Nothobranchius furzeri: one gene and its partners. The protein of the gene in region 1 interacts with the protein of each later gene in a pairwise test. Links are inferred from orthologs where the notes say so. Each region holds a gene or a part of one and is shown in the gene's direction. Other genes may lie near its edges. The genes, in order: spg21, dtx2, trim54, rabac1, atpaf2, s100b and reep6.

Region 1 (4,468 bases):
CTGGCTATGTACAAAAACAAAGAAGCAGCACATTTATAAATGTTTAAAAGAGCATAAAATCATGTGTAACAATAATCTGTAAAACAAATTAAAACTAGAAGGTAATAATAAAATGTTTACATAGAAGATTATTAAAAATAATTCACCTTTGCTACGCCGGTAAAGCTTCACATCAGCCTGGACAAGTGCATTCTTGCAGCTAAATCAGTCTGACAGCCAGTGTCTTGGGTAGATTTAGCCTGAAAAAAAAAATAGAAGCACATTGTTGTTGGGAGTTTATAAAGTCAGATAAAATACAAAAGAAACTGTCCTATAAAGGTGCTTTCTAACATTCCTAGTGTGTGATCGTTGTTATAACGTAAAAGTCAGTCACATATGATGTGGAGAGCCTGAAATGCGACCTCCTGAACAGAATTCCTCACAGAACCGGGTCACAAGCTGGATTTCACACTGTAATGCTGTCTGTCAACTAGTGCTGCGTTAGTTAGAGACACTGTTGCAGAATTACCGACTGACTAGCTAAAGGAAGTGAACCACGTCTCTCGGACTTTGCATTTAGGTAGGGAATTGTCTTTAGAAGACGTTAAAACTTTATTTAGCTGACTCACCTCAGACTGGAGCCCGCCGTGGTGGGGGAGCAGAGTCGGTGGGCTGCACCTAAATCGCGGAAGAGCCACGGTGGGCACAGCCTCCCTCTTCAAACGGAGACGTGCAGAATCGCGGGTAAAATGCTGGTTGTAAACTACAGCACCAGGCGGGAGTCCAGCGGAAAGGAGTGCAACCCCACAGAGCTACCGCAACCATACTACACTACACCATCTCACCATGCTAACACGATATGGAGCACTAAACCCGAACTACTTTCCTAATTACACTAACAGCCAAACACTAACTAAACTACAATATCCAACAGCCAAGTATGTAAATAAGTATGTATAACACTAAAAGCTATGCTAAAGACTAGGATATGCTAATGCTATATGCTAATGCTGAACTACGGCTAGCCTCCTACACTCGCTTGCAAATCCAACTCCCAACTCGCCACAAGGCGTGGCCGAGACGCTCGTTGCTTTATAACTTTGACACAGAGCTGCTACGTAGTACTCTACTGGTTTACGTAGTATCTTACTCTTTAGCCATTCGCTAAAATTTATTCAAAATGAGTCAAATTCTATGTTTTAAGCTGAAGGTGGAGCTATACTGTAGTATTTAGGCAGAATTTTTAATTTTTAAAGAAAATGCACCAAAATGTTAAAATAATGAATACACACATTTAAAACACTATTAGACACTCATTTATACAGTTCATCAGCAAAAAAAAAGTTAATTTAGATGTTACTTGCTCTTTAAGCTCTCTGGCTGGGAGGGCTGCCGTTATTGAGATATTTCCCTTTTCTGACCACCAGGGGAGCTCGGGGGAGAGCTCAACAGGCACATGGGGGCGTGATTTGTCGGGGGCGTGGTTTGTCGGGGCTGCGTCTCTTCCGTTCCGCAGCTAGGAAGGTGCGCGAGGTAGGTGCGCGAGGTGGCTGCGCAGCGGAGGAATTTGCGGAAGCGTGAGAAACAAGAGTCATATGACCAAGCAGCAGCTCAAGAAAATGTTACCCTGAAATGGATAAACATTCCCGGAGACGGTGACAAATCCTCCTCTAGCAGCAGCGGCCTGAAGAGGTGCTCTGTGTATTTCTGTGGTAAGTGTCGGAGCTAGCTGTGTTAGCTAACAACACCACGGTCTCCGGGGCTGGGTGTGACCGTTTGTCTCTCTGCGTGTCCACAGATGGAGGAGATAAAGGTGTCTCCTGACTACAACTGGTTCAGAAGCACAGTTCCTCTGAAGAGAGTGAGTATGGGCGGATCGTTACTGTGTGGGTTTGATTTGTAGAAGAAAAACTGGGCCCACAGCGGATTCTGGATGAAAACCAACTCAAGTTTAAAAACCCGAGTCGGAATAGTGACCAACCAATTATGTATTTACTGTTTCGGCCTCACGTGATGAGTGACTGGATGATGACATGCCTAACAGTTAGGGACGGACTGGGACTAAACAGTCCTGGACTCTGACTAGGCCCGGCCCAAAGTAAACGGCGCGCGGAAATTCGGCAGCAAAAATATGTGGTCAAACCATCCAAATTATAGCAACGGTGCTAATGTTGACTATATGTTGTATAAAAAGCTGTATTACTGATTAGCTTAATCATTTATGCGGTTATTAATCTTACTGCACAAGTAGTACCACGTCTAAATGAAAATGCAACATTACAAATGTAACTTCTGTGTTTAAGATTTTCAAAGTTTGTGAGCATTAACTGTAACACTACTGCCAACCTTTTTACGTAAAACTACAACATGCTTCTTATTACCCAGTGCATGTGGCCTTTTACAGCTAAAGTGTTGAAATTTAGCTGTTATCATAAAATTAAATTGTAACCTAAACATGAATTTCTAACATCAATCCTTGCAAATGTTTCTCCTCTTATATTCCATGCTTACTTCCCCGGGATCTGCCTGTGGAACCAGCGCGTCTTTCTGTCCCTCATTACTGCTTGGCCTGCCTTCTTCACTGCTGTGAACCTGCTGCTAAATATGTCTGTTAATTTGTGACATTTAGAGGCTTTAGCATGTAATGCCCGCAATTATTTTTCTCTTGCTTTCTCAGCCTCACCCTTTTCTTTGCTTTTTTTTTTTTTTTTTTACTAGCAGCCGAGTTTTGCATCGTTTTTTCTACTGCCTTTGCCTCCTCTCTAATTCAGCTTCTTCTTCTCCTTGCCTGGCGGCAGCAGCCAATGTAGCTGGCATCCAACTTAGAGGTGCAGTGCTGCCACCTAGCGTGCTGGAGCGTGAAAGAGCTTTGAGGGGGGGGGGGGGGGGGGCAGGTGTTGAAAGCGTGCGTCGAGAGTGGTCTGTGATTCTCTAGAATCCACAGAGGGCCAGTCTGCCCCTGAACACAGTCACACAGCAGGCTGATCACTTCTCCAGTTTAAGTCGGGACTGTCGGTAAACCTGGAGGACAGTTGGGACGCGTGACCCTAAAGGTCTTTTATCAGCACTTTCCTGTCTTTACTTCCACTGGGTACGCCCACCATCAAAACCAGGATTGTCATCAGATGAAGTTTATGTTTGACTTGGTGCCGTACTCCCACTCTGATCCCTCTAGTTTTGATATGTTCTTTAAGACAACCAGCTTGTTTACACTTTCATGGTTCAAAGCTGTGGAAGATGACCAGAGACTATCCGCGCTGCACCGCCCTGTCCCAGCAGGTGGAGCTGGACTTCAGTGTGGACCAGCATACGACATGGCCGATTCTAGCGTTTGTACTCCATGTTTTGTTGCGTGTTCTCAGTGTTCAGTGGTGACTTGTCCAGGAAAAGACAACTGTCAGAACAAGAACAAGGCAGTAATGTGTTAAGGCAGCTTGGATGGATTAATCACCTTTTCTTTGGCTGATCAGGTTCACGTGCATCTCTATTAAAACTTGTCGTTTCCAAAATAAATCGGATTACTTGGTAAGACCTGGTTGCCCTGCTGTTTGATTATAACATCTACAGTTGTCTGGTTGAAAAACCTGCATTCTGATGCTGACAGCTGGATGGAGGCCTCAACAGGCTATAGCACCTGCTCCTCATTAGACAGTCATAATATTGTTGCTGATAGGTTTGAGGACAGTAGGGTTTATAAAGCACTAATCAGAGAGATACTTCTGACACCAGCTGCAACCCCATCCCCACCGATGGTCTATAAATAACCCTGACTAGCCGTCCTTCCCCTTTTTATTTTTGGAGGCGCATACCTTCATGGTTACCGTAATTTCTGGACTATAGCGCACCTCAATATAAGCCTCACCGGGCTAAAAGCCGCCGATATCTACTGAATTGAAAACGTAGTTAATAATAATAATAATACATTTTATTTAAAAGTGCCTTTCAGGTCACCCAAGGTCACTTTACAGGATAAGGAACACAGTACACAATAAAAATAAATATAAAACAACTAAAGGACAAGTAAACAGAATAAAATAGATGAAATCACTAACAGTAAGTTTAACTGAACGTAACTGAACTGATCAGTATCAAACAAACAGAAAAGTTATTGATTCGTTTATTCATCGTCCTCCTGTGCACTGAAACCACTGAAGTCCTCTTCTTCAGTGTCGGAGTTGAACAGCCTCAGAAGAGCTTCGTCACATACCTTTTCTGTGCCGATGTCAGTGTCGCTGTCCTTGTTGCTGTCACCATCCCGGGGTGAAGTTGGGAAAACAAGCAGCGATGTTTTACTGTGAAAAAAAAATCATCCCAATCATCCTCCTCTGGTTGATTAAAGCTGCACCTCATTATAAGCCGCATGGTTCACAGCGTGGGAAACAGTAGCGGCTTCTAGTCCGGAAAATACGGTAGATGTTCTCATGACAGCTCGACAGGCAAGCAGACAGAAGCACAACAGAATAAAAGATCTGAGGCTCATGTAGAATTT
Region 2 (3,938 bases), on another chromosome or scaffold:
AATTAGTAGCTCCTGCCTGGGTCGGGCTAGCTGTTGACTCAGTCCTGTGGCATATAGATGCTATTCATCCAAACAGAGGCCCTTCCAGAAGGTTATTTATAAACTTTGGACAGAAACTGTTTATAATGTTTTGTACGTTCATGCTGCTCGGGTCAGCAGAATCATTTCATCACGTTTAAAAACGAGTCGGATAAAAGCTGGATTTAGATTTTTTCGTAAGCTTTTTAATTTTTTACGCCTAACCGGACAAATCCTGTTAACGTGACAGCGTTCGGGTGGGTCCAGTCTGGTCCGTCTGCAAGAGTTTTTATTCTGACGCCACCTTCCAGCCACGCCTTTTTGTCCCGCTGAGGTCAGGTTTGGATGCTTCGCCGAACGTTTGCAGGTAAAATATTCATCAAAGCTGCTGATTTCTATTCTTTTCTCTGCCTTTTTAATTCCTGCTGCTCGCCTTTTAATTTAGCCGGCGCGTTCCGAACAGACGGAGTAATTCCAATCAGCTCGGAGGACCGGAACCTCATTAGTGGAACGCTCCAAAGCGGGACACGAGTAAATCATTTCAAATGGAAGGTCAGCGGTGCGGCGCCGCAGATTTAATCCTCATTAGGCGGTAATGAACGTTAACGGTAACCAGAGCCAAACTTCACCGTTTGGTTTGGATAAACTTGTGATGAAAACACGACTTCCTTAAACGCCGCCGCCGTCGCCGTGCTCCATTTGTGAGCGAGTTTTCAAACTGAAGCCGGCGGAGACAGAAAACATTCTGTTTACGTTTGTGCATCTCTGATCTCATTCAGAGTGAAGGATTGTGGGTAGTCACAGCTCCAAGTTCTGGTTTTTGCTCTGACACACACACACACACACACACACACACACACACACACACACACACACACACACACACACACACACACACACACACACACACACACACACACACACACACACACACACACACACACACACACACGCCTGAGTTGCAGCGGAGGCGTCGGCCGCTGCTACGTTTCTCATTCTTTTGATTTGTTCCTTTCTGTTCCTGCATCCCTCCACTTGCTCTCCACCCTCACCCGCCTCACCCCGCTCCAGGCATGGCCTCCATTTTGATGTCAGCAGTGGGACTCGGCGTGCACTTCACCTCCGCCCCCCTCCCTCAGCAGCAGCATCAGCCGCCGCCGCCTGCTCCCTTCGCTCTTCCTCCTCCTCCTCCTCTCCTCCCCTCAGCCAGCAGACCCAACAAGCCCCACAGCAGCAGTTCAGTTAGGAGAGCAAAGAGGCAGCACAGGAGAGGTAGCTACCTCACCCAAAAATACCCATAATCCACTTCACCTCCATCCTCCTCCACCCGTCCACTCATCTCCACAGGCTTGAGGAACATCTCATCCTCCATCACGACTCGTTTCCATGCGTCCTCACTCTAATCCACCTTGCCGTTTGTTTTGCGTCCCTCGACAACGAGGATAACGCGACACAGGTGATAAAAATGTCTCACCTGTGGATTTTCAGCGGGGGTTCAGCTTTGGAGGAGAGAAAAGGTCAAACCTTTGAGCCAGCAGGACGTTTATGATAACGACGAGTTTGAGTTTGTGTTCCAGACCTCAGGTCTGCAGAAACCTCAGAGAAGCTAATGAAAAGGACAAAAAGACGAGGACAGGAGCAGCTTCAGCCGTCAGAACTTTATTTGTCCTCAAAAATACTACATTTAATAAGATTAGGAATATTCTGTGAAATTCTGGAGCCTCAGTTTAATAAATCCCTAAAAATGTCTCATTAGGTTGATTTTAGGACGTGTGAGCATCACTAGGTTTGCTTTATTTGATGGACTTGATTGGATTTTGCAACTTCTGGCTTCAGATTATAAAGAAGAAATGTTGAAAGTGATGCGTGGATATTTACAAGACGCTGCGCGCCACAAACTGTCTGTTTTCACAGTTATTTATGTGATTTATTGCAACATTTTATCGTTAATAACCAACAGATATTGGAGCTGAAAGCACTCGGTGGCTGTGGGAAGAAAAACCTTCGTTTGCCAGTTTTTCTTTCCCAACAAACTAAACGAGCTCCCTCACCATCAGAAACACGGAGACTCCCTTTAGTTCATGTTGGGTCCCGTTTCGCCGTCCATCAGCATTTCATGTGTCCTGGTTCCATTAACTTCCATCAACCCTTGACTCTTAACGTTCTTTCTGACGGCACCCTCCTACAGTAACTCACCTGATGAGTAGAAGTGCTGGAGTTGTTCGTCTCTCCAGGAGAAAAATAGTTTCATTCCATCCCGTCTGATTTTTAGTTTCAGCACATTCTCGACTTCTCTCTCCGCCAGTGCTGACTCGGAGCTCTGAGGACGTGATCCGGCGCTACATGGAGGTGGTGGCTGAGGTTCCCGAGGAGGTAAGTGTTGTTGCATTAAAGTAAACAAGTCCCAAATGTATTTAAAGGTATATTTAGACCTTCTGAAGGGAGTTTATTTCTATTTGTTGGTTTTATTTGAAGTAGAGGGAAATTGAAAAAGACAAAAGCTCTCAGGACAGCAACACAAAAACACCATTTCTCTGAACAGAGGCTGTTTTAGAACTTTTACACATAAATGCATTTCAAGATGGCTGTAATATCCCTTTAAGACACGGCTCAAGGCATGATGGGAAATGTTGTGTGAAGCTTTAACACTCGGAGACTCGTCTCTTCCAGGACTGCATCATCTGCATGGACCAGCTGTCCAGCCCGTCCAGCTACGAGACGCCGCCGTCCTCAGAGGACGGGGTTCAGAGCGTCCTGCCGGACACCGTGGGAAAGTTCATCACATGTGGACACACTCTGCACATGCTCTGCATGCTGGCCATGTACAACAACGGGACCAAGGTACGGGGGACGTTTGGGCTTTCTTAAAGCCTAAATCAGGAAGAAGCCTGCAAACAGAATCGTTGTTCATACAGTTCTTGTTCAAGTGTCCAAATTAAGACAAAGGATTCGGTTCTGTTTTGATATAGAATGTTTAAAGAAGTCCTCGATTAGATTTTCTTTAGTTAAGGCCTTTAAAATGACAGAAATCCTTCGATCCAAAGGTTCTAAAAATAGCACGGGGTATTTCCAGGCATGCATGTTAGCTCCAGGAGCAAAACGATGTTAAAGTTCGACTCTTAACGCCGTTTGTGTTTGATCAAATGTGATTAAATATCAAGTCAAAGAAATAAAAATGCATAGAATATTAAACGTTATTTTTGTTTATAAGGCAAGAATGGGGATTTGGAAACATAATGGTGTATAAATGATGGTAATCGGTATGCTATTCTAACGTTTTAGTGTAAGTTTCAGGTGTTTTGGGGGGTTGGGGTTATGACAGGGTATCTGCGGGTCCTTAAAAAGTCTTAAATTTGCTTTTCCAAATTTAAGGCCTTGAAAATCCTTAAAAATTACAAATAATCCTTAAATCCAGTTTCCAAAGGTCTTAAATTACCAAAGACCCAATAAACAAGATTCTTTTATTTCCATAAAATTTTCGTGAATTTCTAGTTTGTGTTCAGCATTTTTAGTGTACGATGTTGGCGTATGCAGAACCGTACACGTTCAGCTGGTTGTGAAAGGGGGCCATTTTTAGATGAGCACATTAGCTGGTTAAGCTAGTGGGAGCTTGCGCCATGGGGAAGTGCAGTTTTTATGGTAACTGGGTGGCTAATCCCACGTTTGCGACGTGGTTAGCACCGGTTCCAGGCAATAGCTGGAAATTATAGCTTAAATGAAATTTTAAAAATAGCTTAAATTTGGTCAAAGTGGCCTTAAAAAAGGTCTTAAATTTGGCTCCCTTAAACCTGCAGATACCCTGTATGAGCTCATGCTCCTGCCTGTACCCAAAAGCCAGCATTAAAGACATTAAAGACACTGCAGCGTTAGCCTCACAGGCGCAGAAACTACGTCGCTCTTGTGTTTTTGGAAGGAGAAAA
Region 3 (3,938 bases), on another chromosome or scaffold:
GATTTCTGTTGTTTTTCAGCTCATTCATGATTTTAATGTTAGATAAACTCCATTTACTTCATGTAGGTCGGCCGCTGTGGCTGTAAACACAGATTTTATATATAAATACAAGAAATGATTATTGAAATCACATTTTAAACTTGACTTGCTTCTCTGGTGTGTTCTTGCTGCGTTGAGTTTCAAATTCCATCTTTCAGTTCTTTTTAAAACACACAAAACGTTTACCTGATGATGTTTGCAGCCGCAAACGAAACGTTGCAGGTAAATAAACCTTTTCTGTGTTTTAAAAAGAACTGAAAGATGGAATTTATTTGCTTCTAATTAGAAACAAGACTAAGTCGTGGAGGCTAATATAAATGAATGATTTATTATATTTTATTTTATTTTAACTAAGTAGTGGAGGCATATAAATGAATGATTAATTTAATTTAATTATTTATTTTGCAGATTTGTCCAAATTTGAAATGGGGAAGTAAAACATTTTGTGGAATTTAGTTTTGTGTGTGTGTGTGTGTGTGTGTAAAAGTAAATAAAAAAATAAAAAACAACAAAAATCTACCAAACAGGAAATCAATAATTTATAAAAAAAATTATATGAAAATGTTTTAATTATTCAAATGACCAAAACTGGAAAAGAAGTTGTGATTTCTATCTGTTTTCCACAAGTTGTCCAAGGCTGGGTTGACCCAGACTTCCCTTTCTGGTCTTTCTGAAGAATTCCAAGATGTTTCCAGGAGAGAGGATTTATAATCCTGCTGGTAAGGTCCAGGTCTGCCTCAGGCTGTCCTCCCAGGGGCCCAGAAACCCTCCAGAGGAAGACGAGCAAGAACCATCCATGACAGATGCCCCAAACACCTCAGCTGACTCTCCGATGAGGAGGAGCAGCTAAGGAAACTCATCCTGGTGTCTTCCATCCAGGATCTTGTTTTGGTCATGATGACAGACACAACAGACCAAATCAGAGGTCTGCTCTCCTCCATCGCTCAGGAGCAAGATACTTTAGCTCCTTCATAGAGGCAATGACCTGTTCCAAACCCAGAGGAAGAAACCCAACTTCTTCGGGTGGAGATCCAGAACCTCGGACCTGGAGGAGCTGACCAACCCAGAACCACAGAGATTAAATGTTGAGGTTGTCAAACCAGCATTTTTTATTAAAACAGATAAAGTTAATATTAAAAACAGAGAAAACAACCAGGTTTGGTAGAGTTTCAGTTCTCATGGGAGAACTTTACTTTGTTGACTCTGTGCAGGTGGAGCTGAGTGACGGGATTGCTGTCTTGGTTGCCAGTAACGACCAAGTCCAGGCGGCCATCTCTCAGATGGAGGAAATCTGCCGCAGCATCGAGGTGACACCCACAAACACCCCCCCCCCCCCTTCCTGTTACCTAACTGATCCTACCCACATGTTCTGCATGTGGTCAAGTACATTTTCAGGTCCTTCGTCTGCGTTTTCCCTTCAGGAGAATGCTCACAGACAGAGGGAGAACCTGGCTGACCAAATCGACGACCTGATGGCAACGTTGGAGGAGAGAAAGCACGAGCTGATTGGATTCATCAGCAAACATCAGGATGACAAACTGAATCATGTGCGATCCCTCATCAGCTGGCACAGCGACCACCTGGAGACCGCCGTAGCACTGGTGGAGACGGCCGTTCGATCCATGGACGAGCCTCACATGGCTTCGTTCATCCAGGTGAGGAACACACCTGTTGCATCATGAATCAGGTGCAGAGAGGAAACAAGTCATGCTCTTATTTGTTTTATTTCAGACTGAAAGAGAAGGAGGAAAAGAAGTTATGAGTTTAGCTTATTAATATTCATGATATTCAAACGTCTCGCCTCTGATTGGCTAACAGCAACGTGACTCTTCCTCTGTTCGCTCTTTGGTAAAAATGCAGCGTTCACGTTACGTCTCCACCAACACAAAGCTGAACGTGTTCCGTCATGCTTGGATTAGCTAATGCTAACGGTTAGCTTCTACTCGCCGAGACGCTCTGCTGTCTCCTTCCTGTGGGTGGTTCTAAACCAAGGTGGGCGGGATCACGAATATGAATTTTCCCTGTGACATAGAAGAGATTGGCTTTCTCTGACCCGACTGTTGCCCCGCTGCTGATGCAGGTGACTAGGGTAGAGGAAAACGTTCAGGGTGCACGTGCAACTCACCACGACAGATCAGGTTTCTACAAGAACAGACATTAGTGAACGAGACCTGTAAAGTATGAGGTGTGTGCTCACACGTGTGTAAATGTCAAACCCTAACCCTCATGAAGCTGGGAACTTCTGGGGAACTCAGCGCACACGAACCGTTGAGGGTTGGGGAGAGCTTACAGGTGTGGCTCACACAGATAACTGAAGGAATCTTCTCCTCCATCCACAGATCTCCGATGTCCTGCTGGAACGGTGAGTGTGTGTGGTGCGAGGCTCTCATTCGGAGGTATTTAACTTCCTGTACACATTTTTTTCGATGGAGGCCATCAATTAGCATCATAAACACCAAAGCATGTCTGCACGCAGATTTTTAAAAACTGGTTTATTAAAGCAGATTTCCTGTGATTTAGAACCGCACCATTTCATCTGACCTTCAGCTGAAAAGCTTGAAGGTGATTGTGGTTTTAGTTGCTGCAGCTTTGGCACTGAGTAAACCTGCCCAGTCATCAGCTCTCACACGTGTCACCTCTGATTAATTATTGAACAGATCCAACTGTTGACATAAAAAAAACAAGCAAATCTGCTCTGCCATCGGCGGCCGCCTCGTGTGAACGACCGGGGATCTGTGTGTGTTCACTGGCTGATGGATCGAGTCAATATTGGCTTTTGACAGATTTATTATTAATCAGTGAATTTATGGGTTCCACACCGGTTTCATCTTAGAGAAAAATAACCTGTAATGAGTCGAGTGTGGAGGTTTTCATTGTTTAATTTGAGTTTTCATCGTGCAAAAGCCTTAAACATCGCTATAGTAACAAGAGTGGCTAATAAAATAAACAAAATGTTTAAAGTTTAAGCCCATTTTTATATTAAACAGCTGCAGGGCTTGAGTTTTATTTTGAAATCTGTGTTTTGACAGGATGTCAGTGGTGATGAGAACCTGGAACCTTGAGCGCCTGGAGCTCAGTTACGAGAGCATGGACCACTTCATCATCAACACGGACGACATCGCAGACTCACTGAGAAACATGGACTTCTGCTCCTGCATGTAAAGCAGAGCTGGGATTGCAGCTGAGGTTCATCCAGCAGACTCCCTCAGCACATCTTAAAGGTCCCACATCACGCTATAGAGCAAAGGTCAGCTCAGCAGATGATAAAATATTATTATTGAGATGTCCTTTTATCTTTCACATGAGTTATTTCTGTCAGCCTGAATGCATACCCGGGAAAAAGCTTTGTGTCCGTGAAGCTCCTCCCATACCTGCGCTTCCAAGATGTGCCTTCAACAGCATCTGTGATGTCTTTTGTGGTAGTCCAGGGGTTCAAGTGTGAGCTTCTTATTCTAGTTTCGCCGCGTGCTGATGTGGGTTTGAATCCCGGTGGCGGCGGCAGTAACTTATGTAGCCAGCTGAAGCAGATTTCATGTTTTAATATTTTAGTTTTGTTGATTTTTTTCAGTTAATTATTTTGTGTAAAGATCTTTGAAGCTGGTTGTTTCCTAGCAGCATTTGAGCTGATTTACTCTGCTCACCTCTCACGGACTCACACCAGCTAAATAAACAAAATAAAAACACAAATTAGTCCTTACTTTGTAAACAGTTTACCAATAAAGGGTTGAAAACATCATGCTGGCGAGTTACTGCTCAGACCAGGATACTAGCACTCTAATCTCTGGACTACCAAGTCTACTACATGACACGAGTCACCTACGACACACATCCTCCACTGACCAGAGGAGACAGGTTTCAGACCAGAGACTAGCTTCCAGTAGAGGAGCAGGGCCTAGTTT
Region 4 (4,484 bases), on another chromosome or scaffold:
AATTGAAACAGCATATTGTAGTTTTCAACAAGAAAACTAAAATAACTTTATTTGGCACAAACTTGAATTGTAGAATTGTGCATTCTTTTTCCTGTCTTTTGGAAAAATCTCCGACCTCATGCATACTCCAGATACAACTCATAAATCTTTAGAGAAAGGGCTTGAAGGACTTCCACTTACTATTTAAGGAAAACGAGGTTCTTAAAAGCAACTTTTGTCAAAAAAAAAAAAAAAAAAGAAAAGAAGAAAACTCATTTTCAAGCTATTTTGGGAGATATTAGGAAGTTAGGAAGTTTTGGGGGATGTTAACCTAATTTAGTAATTTAGCAATATTTTAACACAATTATCAATTGTTTGAATAAACGTTCTCCAGTTTGGTTTATTTGCTGTTATTTACCCTATTTTGTTGAGCATTTTTTTAAATAATCTATTAATACTGATTGTTATTGGAAATTAAACAAAAATATAAAATATAATTAGCTTTTTTGGGGAAAATGCAACTATTTACACCATATTTTCTGACATTATTTATACTTATAGTCGACTAAGTTATAATATATATGTGAGATTTTGAAAAAATATGACATAGAAATGTATTTTCCTCGGGAGTCAGGATATAAAATGTTAATGTACGTGAGCTCAGTGTGTGTGGAGCTGAACATTCCTGCCTTTTACCGTTTCAGCTTGACGCTCTCCACACACACGAACCAGTCAGCGGTGTCGTTTTTATCTTCAGGCAAAATGTGTATGAAAGCAGCTGGAGGCTCCTGAAACGACTCGTTCCTCTTGTGTTACGGTTTTACGCTTTATACGAGTTTATGTATCCTGTCACGGTTTCTGTGGAGAAAAAAACGGTCATTAAACACCCAGCCAGGACAGCTGTTGAGCTGAGTAAGCTAAAGAGCCGAATAAGCTAAAGCTAACGGAGCCAGCGTAGGCTAATATGCTGCTATGGCGCTGTGTCCCCCTTTAGTGCATTTGTAAAAAAAAACGCGTACATTTTGTTTTAGCATTGAAACGTTACTTTATTAATGACTAACAAAAACAGAACTGTCATAAACCCCAAGGTCTGAAGATTACATTTAACAACACGTAAAAACATTCCAACAGCTAAATTTGATAAGATAATTAATAGCGCCTCACCTTCTAATGTTTGTTTCCTTTCTTTCGCTGGCGGATCTAGCAACTTCCACAGTGCCGCGTGCCCAGTGACGGCAGCACCACAACACTCGTCTATCTACCAATCACAGCCTCTTTGTTTGTTACATGACGTAAGGTCACGTTTTTACCATTTCTGATCTGCAGTCAGTTTTTCGTGCTTGTGTGGTTTTGAGCAGCCACCGCAGAAAACAGGCAGCCGATCTCAGGTCGGCTTTTTCAACAGATGTGTTTTCGGCTGTTAAGAGAAAAAACTCCGTTTTTTGGATGAAGTAAAAATAATGCAAAAAAATAAATAAATAAAATAAAAAGTAATACAAATGAAAAGTTCCACCTGTGTTGTGTAACACAAAATTCGAAGTACTCTATGTAGCCAGTAGGTGGCCCTGCCTAGAGTCAGCGAAGTAGGAAGTTTTTTCTTCTTCTCCAGCAGCCACATCACTTCCGAGATCCAGAACAGCAACAAAAGACAGCTCAGGCTGTCTGGTGAAACTTCTGCCTACATTTTGGTGAATGATTTAAGGGTTTAGCATTTTGGCAGGTATGTTGTAATTTAAATTCTTATTTTAAAAACAAGTGAAAATTACGTTGACGTTAAATAAAATCCGGAAGTAGACGTAAACATTAGCTCATAAGCTAGCATTTTACATTTACATTCAGGTTTTAAATAGACTCGTCGTGAGTATAATATTTATATTTGAAATTGCTACTTCTAGACACTGTTGTTTGGTAACGAGAGTTTCTCGGTTATCCTGTTTATTTAGTGATGTGGCACTGGCCGGGCCCTGTTTCTACTTCTTCCTGTTTCTCTAACTAAGGATCGCCATTAAACTAGAAAGACATGTAATCATTAGACAGTGATTGTTTATACACTTGAGACCGTTTTAGATTATGACGTGTCAAATGTGGCGTTTTAAAATACGAAAAATCAAAAGTTAGCTCCATTGACATTTGCGATTATTGCTTTCAAAACAGCTTAAGAACCAGGGAGGTTTACTGGGAACACGAGGAATATGAAAGATAAAATAAGAAGTGTTGGGGTTAAAACATGTGTCTACAGTAGATCTGAAGGTCAATGAAAATGGTGCAGTTATAGAAACGACCATATGTCAAGTTTTCAGTCAATATATCTTTTGGAATCCGTTTTGTGTGTGTGTGTGTGTGTGTGTGTGTGTGTGTGTGTGTGTGTGTGTGTGTGTGTGTGTGTGCTAAAGTACCTTTTTTTAATTTCTCAAATTGTTTAATCTTTGGTATTTTGTCATCGATTCTAATTTAAAAAATAGGATTTAAATGTCCACTACACTACACTACACCAGTTTCAGAAATGTTTTATGCCTGAAGGATTTATAGACTAGAAATAAGGGGCTTCATAGGCAAAAAATAATAATAATAATACATCTACCAGAAAATGAGTGGAAACGCAACCAAAGTCTAAATAAGATGCTACACCGTTGCATCAAATAAAAATGAGTAAATCCAGGCTAATTGTTTTTGTAAAAGTTTAGTCCACATTCAATGTGATTCTGTTTCAGTCAACAGTCTCTAAATGTTATCTGGAGTGCCTAAAGGGGAGAACGTCATGGTGGACATGGACAGCAAAGCTGGAGATTTGTTCATCCCAGATGAGGCCCATCCAACCGGCACAGGGGGCATCGGAGTCCTCTCAAGGTGTGAACCACCATGCTTTCATATTTTTACCCTGGCTTTGGTGTGTTGATGATATTCTATTTTGTTTATTTTTATAGGCTCTGGCTTCCTAAAGGCATCTCGGCCAGCATGGCTAAGGAGTGGTTCGACAGGCGCAGGTTGTCCATCCGACCGTGGGCCAGCTTTGTAGACCAGCGCAAATTTTCAAAACCTCGCAACTTTGGAGAGTTGTGTCAGAGGGTGGTTAAAAATGTGGAAGTTTACAACAGCAACTATACCTTCATATTTCTGGGGCTCATCCTCTACTGCATGTAAGACCTAATCAAAGAGAGCTTCATTAAAACAAAAAATGTTAATTAGATCATCTGTGAGACTCTGGCTTCTAGAAAAATGTCGACAGTCTGCTTTAAATAGCTCCAGCCTGACAGCCCTGTTCATTTTTCCTGCTCCTCAGTATCAGCTCGCCCATGCTGCTGATTGCCTTAGCCGTGTATGCTGGTGCCTTCTACGCCATCCACCTTAAGTCTCTGGAGTCCAAACTGGTTGTTCTCGGTGAGTACATTTCCTACAAATCCATAATCTTTTCAAATTTACCAGATTTAGTTTTTTTTTTTTTTTAACATTCAAGGTCTATTTTTTTTTATTCTGTGTGAAACCTTTTAAATATGTCATCCATGCCTGTTCTGGATTTAACCCACGCTGCATTTAGCACCACAAACCCTATTTTTAATATTTTTCTTCATATTTCTTGTTTATCAGGCAGAGAACTGACAGTCCCACACCAGATGAGTCTGGCTGGAGCCGTTTCTCTGCCCGTTTTCTGGTTGGCAGGAGCCGGAGCCGCTGTGTTTTGGGTTCTCGGTAAGCTGAACATGATTTGTTCTTTCCTCGTAATCTTTTTCTGATGTTTCATCTTGATTAAGAACTAAAATCGTTTCTTTTTACATCCATTTTTCCTGTTCTGTGTGGTTTCCTGTCAGGAGCAACTCTGTTTGTGATCGGCTCTCATGCTGCGTTCCGAGAGTTGGAGGCGTCGGACCTGGATGAGCTCCTCATGGAGCCGGTCTAAAGAGCTGCTCCATGATCAGTCCTCGTTTTGACCCTTTGAGAATCTCCTTGAAGATTTTTTTATATCTATACATATATCCTTCTTCCTCATGTTTACCTTATGGCATTGTATTACGAATGCACCTTATGTTGCATGATAAATAACTGTTGTTACACAAATGCATAAATAATGAATTTCTTATTGCTTGAAGCACATTATTCGCCTTTATCTGCATATATTAAGCCTGCGATGCCTCTGGTTTGTGCCATGAAGCCTCTTGCTCTTTAGCGGAGCATCTGCGCTGAATTCCTAGCTGTGGGCATCCTGCAAAGTAAATTCTGACGGCACCATCCAAACTGCTGGTATCGACGCATGTCCGAAGGTCAAGTGCCATTTAGTTTTTTAATTAGTTTTGAACATTATGTGGCTTCTCTTTTTATTTATTTGATCAGCTCTGGTTCAGACATTCTGGTGGGAAAGGTCACGAAAAGCACATTTTAGAAATTCATTTGTAAATTATGCGTTCTGTGCTGAAACGTTGGAAGTGCAATAAATTCTGTTACTGTTACTTGTCTTTAGTTTTATTCTCGTAAGAGTTGGCGTGTACATGTGCACGCACGGGGCAGTCGCT
Region 5 (4,701 bases), on another chromosome or scaffold:
CAGGTTCAGTTTCAATAAGAAATAAACATTCTGTCAGGGTTACAGTTGATCACCAAAGAGTTCATATTTAATTAGTCACAAAGACAAAACAAGAGCAGTCTGACCATGAATCCAGATGGACACAACAAGAACGGATCTTAGGAAATTCCTTAATTATCTGATGCTGATGTTGCTTCCATTACCTAAATTAAAGCTACTGATCTAAAGAGATGATAATCTTAAGAAACAGAGATTTCTGCAGAGGTAAAGTGTTAAAAACTAATTTATTCCGCCAGGAAAATATCCTGACTCTTCCACTCTTCTACGTGTAACCTTTACACTTATAAAAATATAGTTTTCTGTTAACAATTAATCTAGACAAACCTGATGCAGAGGTAAGACTCAAGAGAACTACATACAGACTAGAAGTGTTATGGCAATGATTTGCTCCATCAGGAAGCAGCCATCTAGCACTTGTTTATTTATCTGTATATTCTGCATCTCACTGATCTTTGCCATTTAAAGGATGCGAAACTGAAATAATACAGTTTTAATAGGTGAAGTTCTTCAGTCTCATTTCAAATACATGCATGGGCTAGAATTAGAAAATTGTGGATTAAACCGATGTAGGCCTTTTGAGAAATCAGAAATACAGTTTTCTTTCTAAAGGCAAGAAAATTCAGTATGAATCAAATTTAAGCAACAAAACACTTCGTGTCCCTGCTCACCTCTGTCAGCCCTTTTATCTTCAGGTAGCCACACAAGTAGGAATCTTCCATTGTGACATGCTTTAAGAAGAAAAAAAAAGATTTTCATCATCCAAGTCAGCAATAAACGTGCTTTAATCTACATTCGTATGGATCCCATGATTATGTTTCATAAACATGCTAAAACAGCCTGTTGGTCTTTGAAAATCATATCAAAAAGTCCACCTTTTCAGCAGCATTTAGTGAAAATTGACTAGAGACCAAGTACAACACTGATGATGGTCTGATTCAGGTAGGACAGAGTGTTCAGCTGTCAATCATCACACGGTCGGTTTGACACATCACATTAATGACTGTATACACGCTTCAATTCCTACCTGCAGGACAACCTCCACATCGTAGGAGTTCCCTTTGCTTTTCTGGTGGCCCCGAAACTTAGAGCCGCTGTACAGCAGCGAAGTGACGACGCCGGGCTGCTGAGTGTTTATAGGGGGTGGCGGGATAAGTGAGGCCGAGGATGTGAAGGCCGCTGCGGGTGAGTCGCTGATGTATCCAGCAGGGACGGGCATGGCTCCCACTTCGCTGGCTGAGCACCAACCACGGTCAAAACACTGTGTTCGCCTCTTCGAACAGCTAAATGTTTACTGAATACGCTCACCGATATTCAAATTTCACTTAATTCCAATGTAGCACAGTTTACCAAGCTGCTCGAGAAGTAAGTGGACTTGCTGTGCTGTAGCCAGGAGCATTCACCTCTCTGATTGGTCGACTGAGTTCGCCGTACGAAGATTCTAAACGCTTATTGGCTGAACGTGCAGAAGGATTTACGTGACTATTTGGTTGTAGTTTTTCCCCCTTTTGTAATGCAGCGCAAAGGGACTAAGAGGCTCCTAAAAAAACTACATTTCCCACTAAAGTAAACAGTTTACGACACTGTCAACCAACTCGCAAAGAAGGTCAGCCAGCGTGCTTGAAACGCCGGAGCTTGAGACGAGAACAAATGCTAAAACTGCAAACAGTCTGTAAATGATAGATGTAAATGTCATTCCGTTTACGATGTTGCGCTATTTTAAGTGAGAAACGGTGGGAAAAAGCTTTGCGATTTGTTTCTGTTTTATTATTAGCCTTACGCCAAAGTCGCTGAGCCATGTTTAGAAGTCTTATTAGACTCAAGAGTCCATTTGGAAGTGTTATTTCTCTTTACAACGTGTGCCCGAGGCATCAACACTCCAGTTGTACGCGGAAGTATTCCACCGCCACATCAGGTTAGACGGAAAATATTAGTAAATCCGTTTAGCTGACGATTTCATTAACCCTGTTTTCTTTTGCGATGTTGTGCTGTGTACCAGAGAGGAAGAAGTTTTATCAAGATGTAAGCATCTCCCAAGGTGAAGGTAAGAGGAAATGTTCCATTCCTGTGTTTACATCATTCTGTCTTATGGTTGTGCTAAATATTAATAGCAATAATAATCTGTACAGGTGGTCTCTACGAGATAAACCTTGACAGAAGGAAACTGAAAACTCCAGGTGGGAACCTGTTCGTAGTGCCTAATGAGGCCCTGGCCGTCGCTGTGGCAACAGAGTGGGATGCTCAGAAGGATACGCTCAAGTTCTACACTATGCATCTGGTATTTGGCTATGCACACATAAAGCTGTCAGCCAGCTGCCCTTTCTCTATTACGTGTGTGCGTGTGTGTGCGGGAGTTTGCATCTGCTTGGGACGGGATTGAGGATGGGAGGACGGAGATACAAAGGGGATCTCTTATGTTAATCTGTGTGGGAGGGGTGGGAAACTGGCTGCTGGGTTGTTTTTAATATTGTAAAGTGCTTTGAGCAGCATTTGTATGGAAAGCGCTTCATAAATACATTTTGATTGATTGATTGATTGAGAAAATAAATTTTAAATACAACGAGTGACTTCACCTCTGTAATAAGGGTACATTCCAGGAAATGCGTTGTCCAGCTGAGTGTGAGGTGTCCATTTATGGATTATATACAGTATGCATGCTTATAGCTATGTCCTGTCAGTTACTGAATCATGGATCTGATGTTCTTGCTAAACACTTCTTGCAGACGACTCTGTGCAACACAGCTCTGGACAATCCAACTCAACGCAACAAGGACCAGATGATCACTGCTGCTCTGAAGTATTTGGAAACAGACACCGTTTGGTAAACTTGTTATTTTTATATCTATATCAGATAAAACATTTGTTTATATAACTGAAACAACGGCAGGGTTATACAGCCCAAAAATAAAATCTCTGATTTTATTTTTTAAATTTGATTTACGATTCTCTCTCCCCCTCAATTATTAAGAATAGCAATAAGTACAAATGGAAGGCAACTTAAAGCCAATTTTGTTTTGTATTTAATCACAAGCAAGAGAAATGTTACCCTTATTTCTGAGATGAATAATGAATAAATGATCACCCTCTTGGAATAAAAGTGCCAAGCTCCACATCCGTCGCAGCAAACCCAAACCAGTTCCATACAAGGGATGATTTAATTCCTCTCGTAGGAACAAACTTCCCACTCTCACCGGTGGCCATGGAGTCACTTGCTGTTGCACATCCGTGTACGTGCTGTGACGTTGTTGTCGCGGTTATGTGAAACTAATGCTACGGAAGCTCCGGGGGGCCAAAAAGGCGCTATTACATAAAAATTTGATTTGCTTTCTTTAATCGCCAGCAACAACAAATTCGGCCTGGGTGATGATTTGATTATCGCCCAGGCCTAACTGAAACTAAACCAGGAAAACTAAGCATCCAGTAAGGATCAAAGGTCATTATACCAATATTTATACATCACTGCTTTTAACACAAGACAGTTGAGCTCAGATGAATGGCAGAGTAGATTTTCATAATCCGTCAAAGGTGAATGCACACAGGCCAGTTGAGCAAGTGGACACCTGATTATTTCTATTGTAGTAAATGCAAAATGCATTTTTCAATTAGTGATTCCATTTATTAAAGAATTAAATCTTTCCAAACCAATTTGACCCTTGGAGCCAGCAGCTGTCATCAAGCACATGTGGCTTTCACATCTCTGTGAAAGATTTATGTCCCGCTGCTCGTTACAGAAACTGAAATCAGCCACATTGGAGGGTTTTCCAGCATGAATTACCTGTTTAAGGTCAAAGGTCAGACATTCTTCTTCAGGATGTTTTGCTAAGGAAGCAGCCTCAGACCATCACACTACCACCACCCTGTCTGACTGCAGGGACGATGTCTTTTTCCTGAAATGCTGTCAGTTTTACCCCAGGTGTTAAATAGCCTTCATAAAACCAGGTGCAAGAAAGTTCAGATCTAAATGAATTAGGAAAAGACACGTTGTCATTTAGATATTTTAGTAGTTGTCATTGATGGTGGCTGTTTGCAGATTAGTTTTAAGTTTCGTACTATTTGTTTTGTTTTGTGTAGTTACAGAGTCGATGAGCCTCCAGGTTTGGTCGAGCTCCAGAAGAATGAGTGGGACCCTGTGCTGCACTGGATTGAAAACAGGTGACAGACAGCATTTTGTTGTGATCAGAGCTGATCTGCTTGTGTTAAAGCCATCCAAACGCTCCCGGCCAAGATGCTGCACTAAATGGTTATCTTTCATGACCGCATGGCAGGTACGATGTCACTGTTGGATCCTCGTCCAGCATTTTGGGTCCTGAGATTCCAGAAGCAACCAAAGACACATTCAGGCAACACTTGAGCTCCTACAACCTCTGGTCCATGACAGGTACGAAGTCCAGATGTTTTTTTTTTTTAAAGGGATCGTGATTTATTTATTTTTGTGGTGACTTTGAGCTTCACTTTTTGTCTGGTTGCTTTCGAGCAGGACTGGAGTTTGTGATCACTCAGCTGAAATCTGTAATTCTGTCGCTGGGGATGATCGACAGACATCTGAGTGTGGAGGAAGCTGTGCTGCTTTCCAGACTGGAGGAGGAGTACCAGGTAGGAATTACCAAAAACATCAGCTTCTTCATTTTGCTGCGGGGTGGGGTGGGTTTTGGTCGTATGAACTTG
Region 6 (3,769 bases), on another chromosome or scaffold:
GTAAAAAAAATGATTAAATGAAGTAGGAAAGCAGGAAATTTTTACATTTTTCATTTCGTTTCATGGCGTTTGTCTACTTTTTTTCTGGGAAAGACGACTCTGTGCATGCTCAACCTATTTAATCTGATTGAATACTTGGTGCATACAAACTCACGGCATGGTCGGATCATTTTAGTTAGTGCGCATGTAAACAGAGATTCTGGATTTCCCATCAGCCAAGATTTGAATCGGATTGGGGAAGTTTGGCGCATGTAAACGTGGCTACTGGTGAGGTAAGGTCTTACTTGAACACAAAAATACTGCTTGCTTGCAATGATGTGGGTATGCACTGCCCGCTATAGACAAAGAAAATACACACCGTCACTTTAAGTAATGCATTACTCAGCAGACCCCCACCCCACCCCACCCTGGCCCTTTGTCCTTAAGGACACTTAATAGTTAATGGGAATGAAAATGAAGGGATCCTTTGTTTATCAATGCTTACGTAACTGTATTATTGTAAAGATTTACCAAGTAAATAAGTAAACAGGTGAGTCTTAATTAGCTTGACATGAATCCTGACCCAAAGGGAATAAAAATCTGCTGGATCAGGAACATCTGGGATCAACTCCTCCTCTTCCCCAGAGTCTCGCTGTAAATGAATCAGGCTGATGAACGACAGGCAGTGTTTTGTCTGCAGCTTCCTGGACGGCGGTTTGATTCCCAGCACAACGTTTCAGTGTTTGAAGTGAACAATGAGCCAGTCTGCAGCCGTCCGTCCTCATCGGGCGCTGTTTATCATCGCACAAAGACGCCGTTTGTGCTGGCATACACAGCCCTGTCTCTCCTGCACGGGGCGAGTGAGGTGCAAGGTCAAAGGTCACCGGGTTTAACAAGGCTGTGCGGGGAGGTCAGCACATCTGCCACAAGTTTTACCTGCTCACCGATGGTGATCCCAGAAGAGATGTCTGACACTTTCAGCTTGTTGTGTGTGTGTGTGTGTGTGTGTGTGTGCGTGCGTGCGTGCGTGCGTGCGTGCGTGCGTGTGTGTGTGTGTGTGTTCATTGAGATGCACAGCCACGCTCTTCCTCTGAAACCAGCTTTGTGGAGGGGAGGTGGAACCGGGTCACAGAACCAGAACTGATCCAACTCTCCTCTTTTACAGATCAGGATTTTAATACCTGAGCTGTAAAACTCTGCAGGTTAAAGTTTTTCTCATTTAGACGTTTCAAATAATGTTTCTGTAGTTTTATCTAAAAGCAACAATTTTCATCGGACATCAGAGACATTTAAACACAAATGAGATACAAAAAATAAAAAAACTGTGACACAAAAGTTTTGTTTAGTTCCTGCTCTGGTCCGAGACCAGAGATCCCGGTTCTGAGCGGCGGTCCGGTGGAGTGAGTGGGGGTGGTTCCGCCTCATTGGTCAGCGGGTTGACCGACAGGATTGCTGATCTCAGATCTGCTCCTCCCGGCTCCACCAGGCTGCTGCAGTATAAAACCTGCAGCCTGAGTCTGCGGACACACACGCTGTGCAGGAACACACACACACCAACGGTGAGTTCATCACACCCACACACACTTTTACTGTAGATTATGGGATGCTGCTGGATCCGCAGCCACGTGCTGATGAGCTTTAGGTTCTGGTCGAATTTATTGAGAACATGGTGGAGGCTTTATCCTATCAGCTGATTTACATCGATGTCATCGTAGCTTTGTTCCACACGTATGATGTCCCGCATCATGTGTCTGTTCGTATCACATCTGTATGACATGTCTTTTATAGACACGAAGGTTTTTACACGTTCATCCCTGGAGCTGAAAACATCTGTCAGGAGACGATGAGCGAACTGGAAAACGCCATGGCGACCATCATCGCCGTGTTCCAGAAGTACTCCGAGCGAGAAGGGGACAAACACAAGTTGAAGAAGAGCGAGCTGAAGGATCTGCTTCATGACGAGCTGCCAGACCTGATGGCGGTGAGAGGGTTGGGGTCAGAGGTCATGATGAGAACGGTGGCTCTCCTATAAACCTGTGTGTCTCTGCAGCATGTGAAGGACCAGTCCACCCTGGACAGCCTGATGGAGAGCCTGGACACAGACGGAGACTCTGAGTGCAACTTCCAGGAGTTCATGGCATTCGTCTCCGTGGTTACCGCCTGTTGCCATGAGTTCTTTGTACATGAGGACGAATGAGGACACGGAGACAAAAGAGAGCAGAAACTGTGGAGACATTAGACTAGTCCAGACCAGAGGTAGCCTCACCTAGAACTAGTTTAAATCTGGCTAATCTGGTTTAAACTCAGTTATTCCAGTGCTTTAGAAGCTTTACTCCTTACATTTGATGTTGGTATTAAAGACTAACAAGTTTTATTTTGTCCAGTTTCTGATTTTAAGAATTTCTGGAAATTTTAAAGAATAAAAGCATTTCGGACAATTTGTATAAAAGGATACATTTTCTAAAATGTCTGATTTTGGTTTAAAAATATCAGAAAATTTAACAAAAAGCTAATTTATTTAAAAATTGGTGGTCAGAAGGTTTGTTTGTTTTTATTTTGGTGGGTGTGGTTGATTAAATTCCAATTTGAAACATGTAGGATAAAAGAATCAAGCAACATATTTTGCTCTTGAATAATGTTATTTTATCATTTCCAGCTAATCTGACATCTGATGTTTCTATTTAATTTAATAGATTTAAACGTAGTTTTGTTCAAATGAACACAATTTGGTTTAAAGTTTCAGTTATTTGATGTTTTCTTGTTTAAAATGTTTAACAAACTATTTAATTTCTCATGTTATTTTAGAAACTTGCATTTTCACAATGAAGAAGTTTAAGCAGAAGATTTTTCTAACTTTATTTTGTAGTTTTAGTTTTGTTTACTGCAGGTCATTTTTTTTGTTTGCTTGTTTTAGTTAAAAAAATCTGAAAATAAAAATGTGGATGAAAACAGACGAGTTTAAATGTTTGTCTGAATATTGGTGAAATTAAATATAATAAAACAATAACAAATTGTGATTTTTTTAAAAATCATTTTGGTTTGTTTGCTTTTCTAATTTTAAACCTAAACAGAATAAATTTTGCCTTGTTTCAAATTCTTAGTAGATCGATACTGACTTTTTACATGATTCGGGAATCGTTTCATGTTTTTTGTTTTGTAAGAATATTAATTTTTAAAAATACAGATAATTAATTAATGCAATGCATGAAAAAATAGTTGTAATACCTCCTGACAAAATTTGTAAAACATGTATGAAGTTTAAAAAAATACTTTTAAGCAATCTTAATTGGCATTAAAATGTATATTTTATTTAAATATGTAAGTATTTATTTATTTATTTATTTATTTATTTATTATTTATTTATTATTTAGGGAAACATGGTGTTTCGAAGGATCTTTCATGGCGGTTAAAACGAAGAGTCGGAGTACCCGGCCCGGAGGGTTACCGGGGTCCCACCCTGGAGCCAGGCCTGGGGTTGGGGCCCGTGAGCGAGCGCCTGGTGGCCGGGCTTTCGCCCATGGGGCCCGGCCGGGCCCAGCCCGAACCGGATACATGGGCTCGTCCAACTGTGGACCCACCACCCGCAGGAGGAACATGAAGGGTCCGGTGCAATGCGAATCGGGTGGCAGACCAAGGCGGGAGCCTTGGCGGTCCAATCCCCGGACAAGAAAACTAGTTTTTGGGACATGGAACGTCACCTCGCTGGCGGGGAAGGAGCCGGAGCTTGTGGCAGAGGTTGAGCGGAACCGGCTAGATATAGTCGGACTCACCTCGACACATTGCATTGGC
Region 7 (4,457 bases), on another chromosome or scaffold:
TACCGCTTACGTGCTTCAAATTTAAGGAATACCTCGGCTGATGCAGAGTTGATGAACGTTTCACGGACAAGTAAGTCTCTAAAATATAAATATATGAAAACACAACATGACATGAGAATAATACTCGTAAAACAGCGTGTTTTAGCTCCGTTTGTCAGCTGCAGAAGCACATTTATAACCAGAAACGTGAAGTCGCCATCTTAAACAAACAGAGGAACAGACTTTTTGTGTGATATGCTTGTCAGCCACTAGATGGTGCCATCAGATAAGAGAAATACTCCGGAAAGAAGCTTCAACGCCGACTTTTGATCCAAACATCCTGTGGTGGAACGTTAAATGATAGTTGGTCACATGTATTCTGTAAATCATGTTACGTTGATGATGACAACTATACAGGCCATACAGAGAAATGTGATTACGTTCTTTTGTCACGTTTCCTATGAGCACACTAAAACTACAGCTGCTAACCTTTACTTATTGTTACAGTCATGTCTCCATAAGCACATGTCTACAACACATGATCTCCACACGCATGTGAGGATGTGTTTCAGTTGCTAACAGGCACCAGAGGGTTACGCAATTATGAACGCTAATGCGATTTCTTCAGCCATCGTCACCCGCAAGCTACATGTAGAGAAACCTGTCCCACTTAAACGCAGGCTTTTAGCCACTCCCACCGCTGCGTCCGTCTGCTCTCACCTGTTTTCCAGGCGAGGCGCCGCTCATCTCAAACAAGGCCATTCTCACATGCTTGTGAAGGCACCCGAATGTGCGAATGGGGATATGACTGTAACACATTATAAGTAAAAGTTACCAGCTGTAGTTCTAGTGTGCTCCAAAAAAAAAAAAAAAAATATATATATATATATATATATATATAAATAAAACCATTTAAGGTTTAAAAAAACCTACATGGCCCCTTGATGTTTTGTGTTGTTTCTGCACAACTGGCATTTAAGGGCACACTCTGCAGTTTTTCTTGCTTTTAGCACCCCCTAGTGTCCATTATTAATTATCTGTGGTCCAAAATGAAACCAATCTCCTCGCTGTGCCTTTTTCTTTTTAACACCCAAATCTAATAGCTGAAATGTCTCCCCAGCCTTCTTTAGTGTCTACAGGAGTGATTCATCACTAAATTAAACAAACAACTGTGTCCATGATCTAAAACAAACATGCTGGCAGCAGCACAACAGGCGGTGGCCCAGGACTCTGAGGTATCCTGGCCACAGAGGGCGGTGGGGTCTGAGTGACATTTCACTGTTTCAAGATGCTGATTCAAAAATATGAACAACTTTGCCTTTAGGATGAGTAAATCTGTTTTGTGTTTGATGGAGAATAAAAACGAGAAATGGAGAAAAGGCAAAGACTGAAACTTTAAACAACTATATAACCATAACATAATCATCGGGGGAAGTTTTAATGTTTCTATCTAAGAATGAGACTTTTGAATGAATGATTTTGGGATTAACGGATGCTCACGAGGCACCTCCTCCCTCACCGCTCCACCTCCTCATTACAACAGATTGTTGCTGTGAGAGGATTACTACCTGCCAGCTGCCGGTCCAGGATCCTTTCCTCTCTGCTTCTCTTTGAGGACGTTGTTGGAGACCATGGGACTGCTGGGTGTTCTCACCTCCATCAAGGACCGAGCAGAAAAGTTTCTGAACGAGAAGAACGTGGTGACGGATTTTCTGGGGAAGGTGGAGGAAAAGACGGGGATCAAGAAAAAGGTCCTGGCTGTGGGTATGTGAGGAAGCTCCTGCTGTGTTCAGGTGATGAAAGGTGTCCGTGGTTCTGGGTGGATTCTGTCCAGGTGTGACACAACGGTACCTGCCTGGACGAGTCCGAGAAAAGAGGATTCAGTTAATCCTCCTGTGAGGAGATGCAGCCAAAGCTTCTGTTTATTATTCTGCATAATCGGACTTTAAACTGCCTCCTCATCTCACTTTTATGTTCCTTTCAGTTGCATCTGATTTCCTGTTTGTTGGTTTTGGTTCAAACAGAAACCCTCTGAATTTGACATCGTTAGACGTTTCCTTTTGTTGATCCGCCTTCCCCCAGACCGTGTTCTGGTGAAGGTTCCCAGCAGGTCCTGGAGTTAAAGCGGCTGAAACTCTTTATTTTCCTACAACTCGGCTCTGAGTCCCATCCTGACACAGCTTCAGAAGTCCACATTTTAGTGGCTAATCTTTATCATGCACTTCCTGTTTTAAATCCCAAACTACGGGAGTGTCTTGTGAGCTGCTTTTCCTTTAAGGAGCTCTGGCTACAGCCCGTGCCCTACAACGTTCTGCTCAAACTTAGAAAACTCCTGGGATGACAAGCAAGATGAAGTCCTGCTGTCCTGAACATTTTTATTCATCTCTGGAGCCTCTCCTCCTGTTGATTCTTACTAAACATCTGTGAAATCTTCTGAACCCTGTCTACTAAGCAGAGTGCACTTGCAGGAAGTGTGCAGTAAGGCTTCGAGTGTGCGGTATACAAGTGTGCAAATAATCGCTGAACTGGAAAAGGGAGTGTTGCGTGATCGACCGCAATGCATGCAGGGATGCTGGTCACTGAGCTACTTTTTATAAAAACCTTTATTAACAACTTTCAAACAAACAACCAAACATCCATCCGTTTTCGGCCCGCTTATTCGGGGATGGGTCACGGGGGCAGTAGTCTAACTGGGAGGCCCACCCTTCCCTCTCCCCAGCTACTTGGGCCAGCTCCTCTGGGGGAATCCTGAGACGTTCCCTGGCCAGCAGAGAGACATAGTCCCTCCAGCGTGTCCTGGGTCTTCCTTTAGATCTCCTCCCAGTCGGACCTCACCAGGGAGGCGTCCAGAAGGCATCCTAAGCAGATGCCCGAGCCACCTTAACTGGCTCCTCTCGATCGAGAAGTTGGCTCTCTGTAACAACCAATTATTTAAGTAAATTTGTTTTGTCTAAAGCATTCAGAGCATCAAATAATTATCCTACAGTGAACTACTTTTTTATTTGACTGTGCTACCTTTTTTACTTTAGTGTCTGCCCTGGGATTGGGAGATGGGGGTTCAAATCCCAATCGGGTCATTCCAAAGACTTTTAAAAAATGGGACCCAATACCTCCCAGCTTGACACCATCGACATATATATATATATATATATATATATATATATATATAGTGGACGATTCCTGTACATAGGCTCGTATGAGAAGTTTTTAATTTGAAATGGGAGGTGGCCACCACCGCCATTTTGATTGTGTCACACGTCTCGTCGCGCCCAGACAATCCCATAAAAGGGAAAAGAGGTGGAGCTGAAGGTGGGGCTGTAAGGCTGGGATCAAATGATGACACCCGTCGAACAGTGATGTAGCTACAAGCTAAACCAAAGCCAACGCGGAGGGGGGAGCTAAGCTAACAGAGGTAGCTTCCTAGCAAACTGTGCACAACACCGGAGCTTCTGAGTCGGAGATGTGCCAGGCTGACCGCTGGGTAAAACCGGGTGGAACACAGAGGTTTCCAACCGAGAGCTCCACAAGCCGGCAGCCGCGCAGCAGACAGGCGCCGCTGCGATGCGCCGAGCTGCCGCTGAGGGGAGGGGACCATACCGATAGTGGGAACCCAGCTCCACCAACATGTTATATTTCAACCCATTTTCTAAAGTGCAGCATTATGTTAAATGCACTGGGTTTTACCCTATTACATTTAAATGTCATGGTTAAACAGTACATGTTAAAATCTAAGCTCAGCTCGGCAGTGACCTAAAATACATAAATATAATTTTACTTACCGAAAAAATGAAGTGGAGACTCCTTGGACGCTCTATTAGTGCAATTAATGCCACAGCAAGTCATTTTGTCCAACAATTGCACAAAAATATCCAAAAAAGAACACAAACGCTACAACTAATGGTCTAAGTTGAGAGACGGAAAATGACGGAACAGTTTTTAAGCGAGACCGAGGCTCTACTGAGGCCTTTCCACGGAGCTAGCTCTGTGGTCACGTGGGTCTGAGGCTCATTAATTATACAGAATTTTAGACTTTTAATACACTTAAACAGAAGAGTGAGAAAAACATTCACCCCCCTCAGAGTTGTCATGAGTGTAAACTAGATCATTTAAACCAAAAACATGTTCTGGTACCAGGCTGTAAACATACCATGCCAACGTTATTTCTATAGCACAGTTTAAGACACAGCGTGAGAGCTGACCGAAGTGCTGAACAGGCAGGATCAATTAAAACAAAAGTAAAAACAATAGGACGATAAAACACAACAATAAAAACTATAAAATCCTAATAGGATGACATGGATCACTGTCTAAAAGACAAGTCATAAAAGTAGGTTTTTAAACGACATTTAAAACAGGCAGAGAGGACGCCAGCCTGACTGTACTGGGCAGTGAGTCCTAGAGCATGGGGGCAGCATGGACAAACTCACGTTCACCTCGTGATTTGTAGGCCATCCGGGGAGTGCAAAGCAGTAGACGGT

The links.
Region 2: the proteins of spg21 (region 1) and dtx2 interact in binary tests that used the Homo sapiens proteins (3 or more experiments, as listed by UniProt). The two-hybrid records come from large-scale screens. The link is inferred for Nothobranchius furzeri from reciprocal best matches to the Homo sapiens genes SPG21 and DTX2.
Region 3: the proteins of spg21 (region 1) and trim54 interact in binary tests that used the Homo sapiens proteins (3 or more experiments, as listed by UniProt). The two-hybrid records come from large-scale screens. The link is inferred for Nothobranchius furzeri from reciprocal best matches to the Homo sapiens genes SPG21 and TRIM54.
Region 4: the proteins of spg21 (region 1) and rabac1 interact in binary tests that used the Homo sapiens proteins (3 or more experiments, as listed by UniProt). The two-hybrid records come from large-scale screens. The link is inferred for Nothobranchius furzeri from reciprocal best matches to the Homo sapiens genes SPG21 and RABAC1.
Region 5: the proteins of spg21 (region 1) and atpaf2 interact in binary tests that used the Homo sapiens proteins (3 or more experiments, as listed by UniProt). The two-hybrid records come from large-scale screens. The link is inferred for Nothobranchius furzeri from reciprocal best matches to the Homo sapiens genes SPG21 and ATPAF2.
Region 6: the proteins of spg21 (region 1) and s100b interact in binary tests that used the Homo sapiens proteins (3 or more experiments, as listed by UniProt). The two-hybrid records come from large-scale screens. The link is inferred for Nothobranchius furzeri from reciprocal best matches to the Homo sapiens genes SPG21 and S100B.
Region 7: the proteins of spg21 (region 1) and reep6 interact in binary tests that used the Homo sapiens proteins (3 or more experiments, as listed by UniProt). The two-hybrid records come from large-scale screens. The link is inferred for Nothobranchius furzeri from reciprocal best matches to the Homo sapiens genes SPG21 and REEP6.

What each region holds. Positions count from the first base shown.
Region 1 is NC_091749.1:20,260,762-20,265,229, forward strand, and holds the start of spg21 (maspardin), read left to right. Parts: upstream 1-1,350; 5' UTR 1,351-1,691; intron 1,692-1,777; coding exon 1,778-1,840; intron 1,841-4,468. UniProt on the Homo sapiens protein: May play a role as a negative regulatory factor in CD4-dependent T-cell activation.
Region 2 is NC_091750.1:69,056,262-69,060,199, forward strand, and holds part of dtx2 (probable E3 ubiquitin-protein ligase DTX2), read left to right. Parts: intron 1-1,089; coding exon 1,090-1,290; intron 1,291-2,290; coding exon 2,291-2,391; intron 2,392-2,688; coding exon 2,689-2,859; intron 2,860-3,938. UniProt on the Homo sapiens protein: Regulator of Notch signaling, a signaling pathway involved in cell-cell communications that regulates a broad spectrum of cell-fate determinations.
Region 3 is NC_091742.1:14,270,758-14,274,695, forward strand, and holds part of trim54 (tripartite motif-containing protein 54), read left to right. Parts: intron 1-1,250; coding exon 1,251-1,346; intron 1,347-1,460; coding exon 1,461-1,694; intron 1,695-2,378; coding exon 2,379-2,401; intron 2,402-3,068; coding exon 3,069-3,201; 3' UTR 3,202-3,938. UniProt on the Homo sapiens protein: May bind and stabilize microtubules during myotubes formation.
Region 4 is NC_091745.1:74,795,150-74,799,633, reverse strand, and holds rabac1 (prenylated Rab acceptor protein 1), read left to right. Parts: upstream 1-1,564; 5' UTR 1,565-1,699; intron 1,700-2,690; 5' UTR 2,691-2,704; coding exon 2,705-2,826; intron 2,827-2,903; coding exon 2,904-3,116; intron 3,117-3,259; coding exon 3,260-3,357; intron 3,358-3,564; coding exon 3,565-3,666; intron 3,667-3,785; coding exon 3,786-3,874; 3' UTR 3,875-4,421; downstream 4,422-4,484. UniProt on the Homo sapiens protein: General Rab protein regulator required for vesicle formation from the Golgi complex. May control vesicle docking and fusion by mediating the action of Rab GTPases to the SNARE complexes.
Region 5 is NC_091756.1:29,843,009-29,847,709, reverse strand, and holds the start of atpaf2 (ATP synthase mitochondrial F1 complex assembly factor 2), read left to right. Parts: upstream 1-1,620; 5' UTR 1,621-1,833; coding exon 1,834-1,951; intron 1,952-2,035; coding exon 2,036-2,080; intron 2,081-2,165; coding exon 2,166-2,314; intron 2,315-2,759; coding exon 2,760-2,857; intron 2,858-4,107; coding exon 4,108-4,188; intron 4,189-4,301; coding exon 4,302-4,414; intron 4,415-4,513; coding exon 4,514-4,629; intron 4,630-4,701. Other genes in the region: glucose-induced degradation protein 4 homolog, read right to left, coding at 708-767, 1,064-1,255. UniProt on the Homo sapiens protein: Plays a role in the assembly of the F1 component of the mitochondrial ATP synthase (ATPase).
Region 6 is NC_091743.1:84,018,546-84,022,314, forward strand, and holds s100b (protein S100-B), read left to right. Parts: upstream 1-1,398; 5' UTR 1,399-1,538; intron 1,539-1,767; 5' UTR 1,768-1,822; coding exon 1,823-1,960; intron 1,961-2,029; coding exon 2,030-2,176; 3' UTR 2,177-2,932; downstream 2,933-3,769. UniProt on the Homo sapiens protein: Small zinc- and- and calcium-binding protein that is highly expressed in astrocytes and constitutes one of the most abundant soluble proteins in brain.
Region 7 is NC_091748.1:78,702,343-78,706,799, reverse strand, and holds the start of reep6 (receptor expression-enhancing protein 6), read left to right. Parts: upstream 1-1,610; coding exon 1,611-1,743; intron 1,744-4,457. UniProt on the Homo sapiens protein: Required for correct function and survival of retinal photoreceptors. Required for retinal development.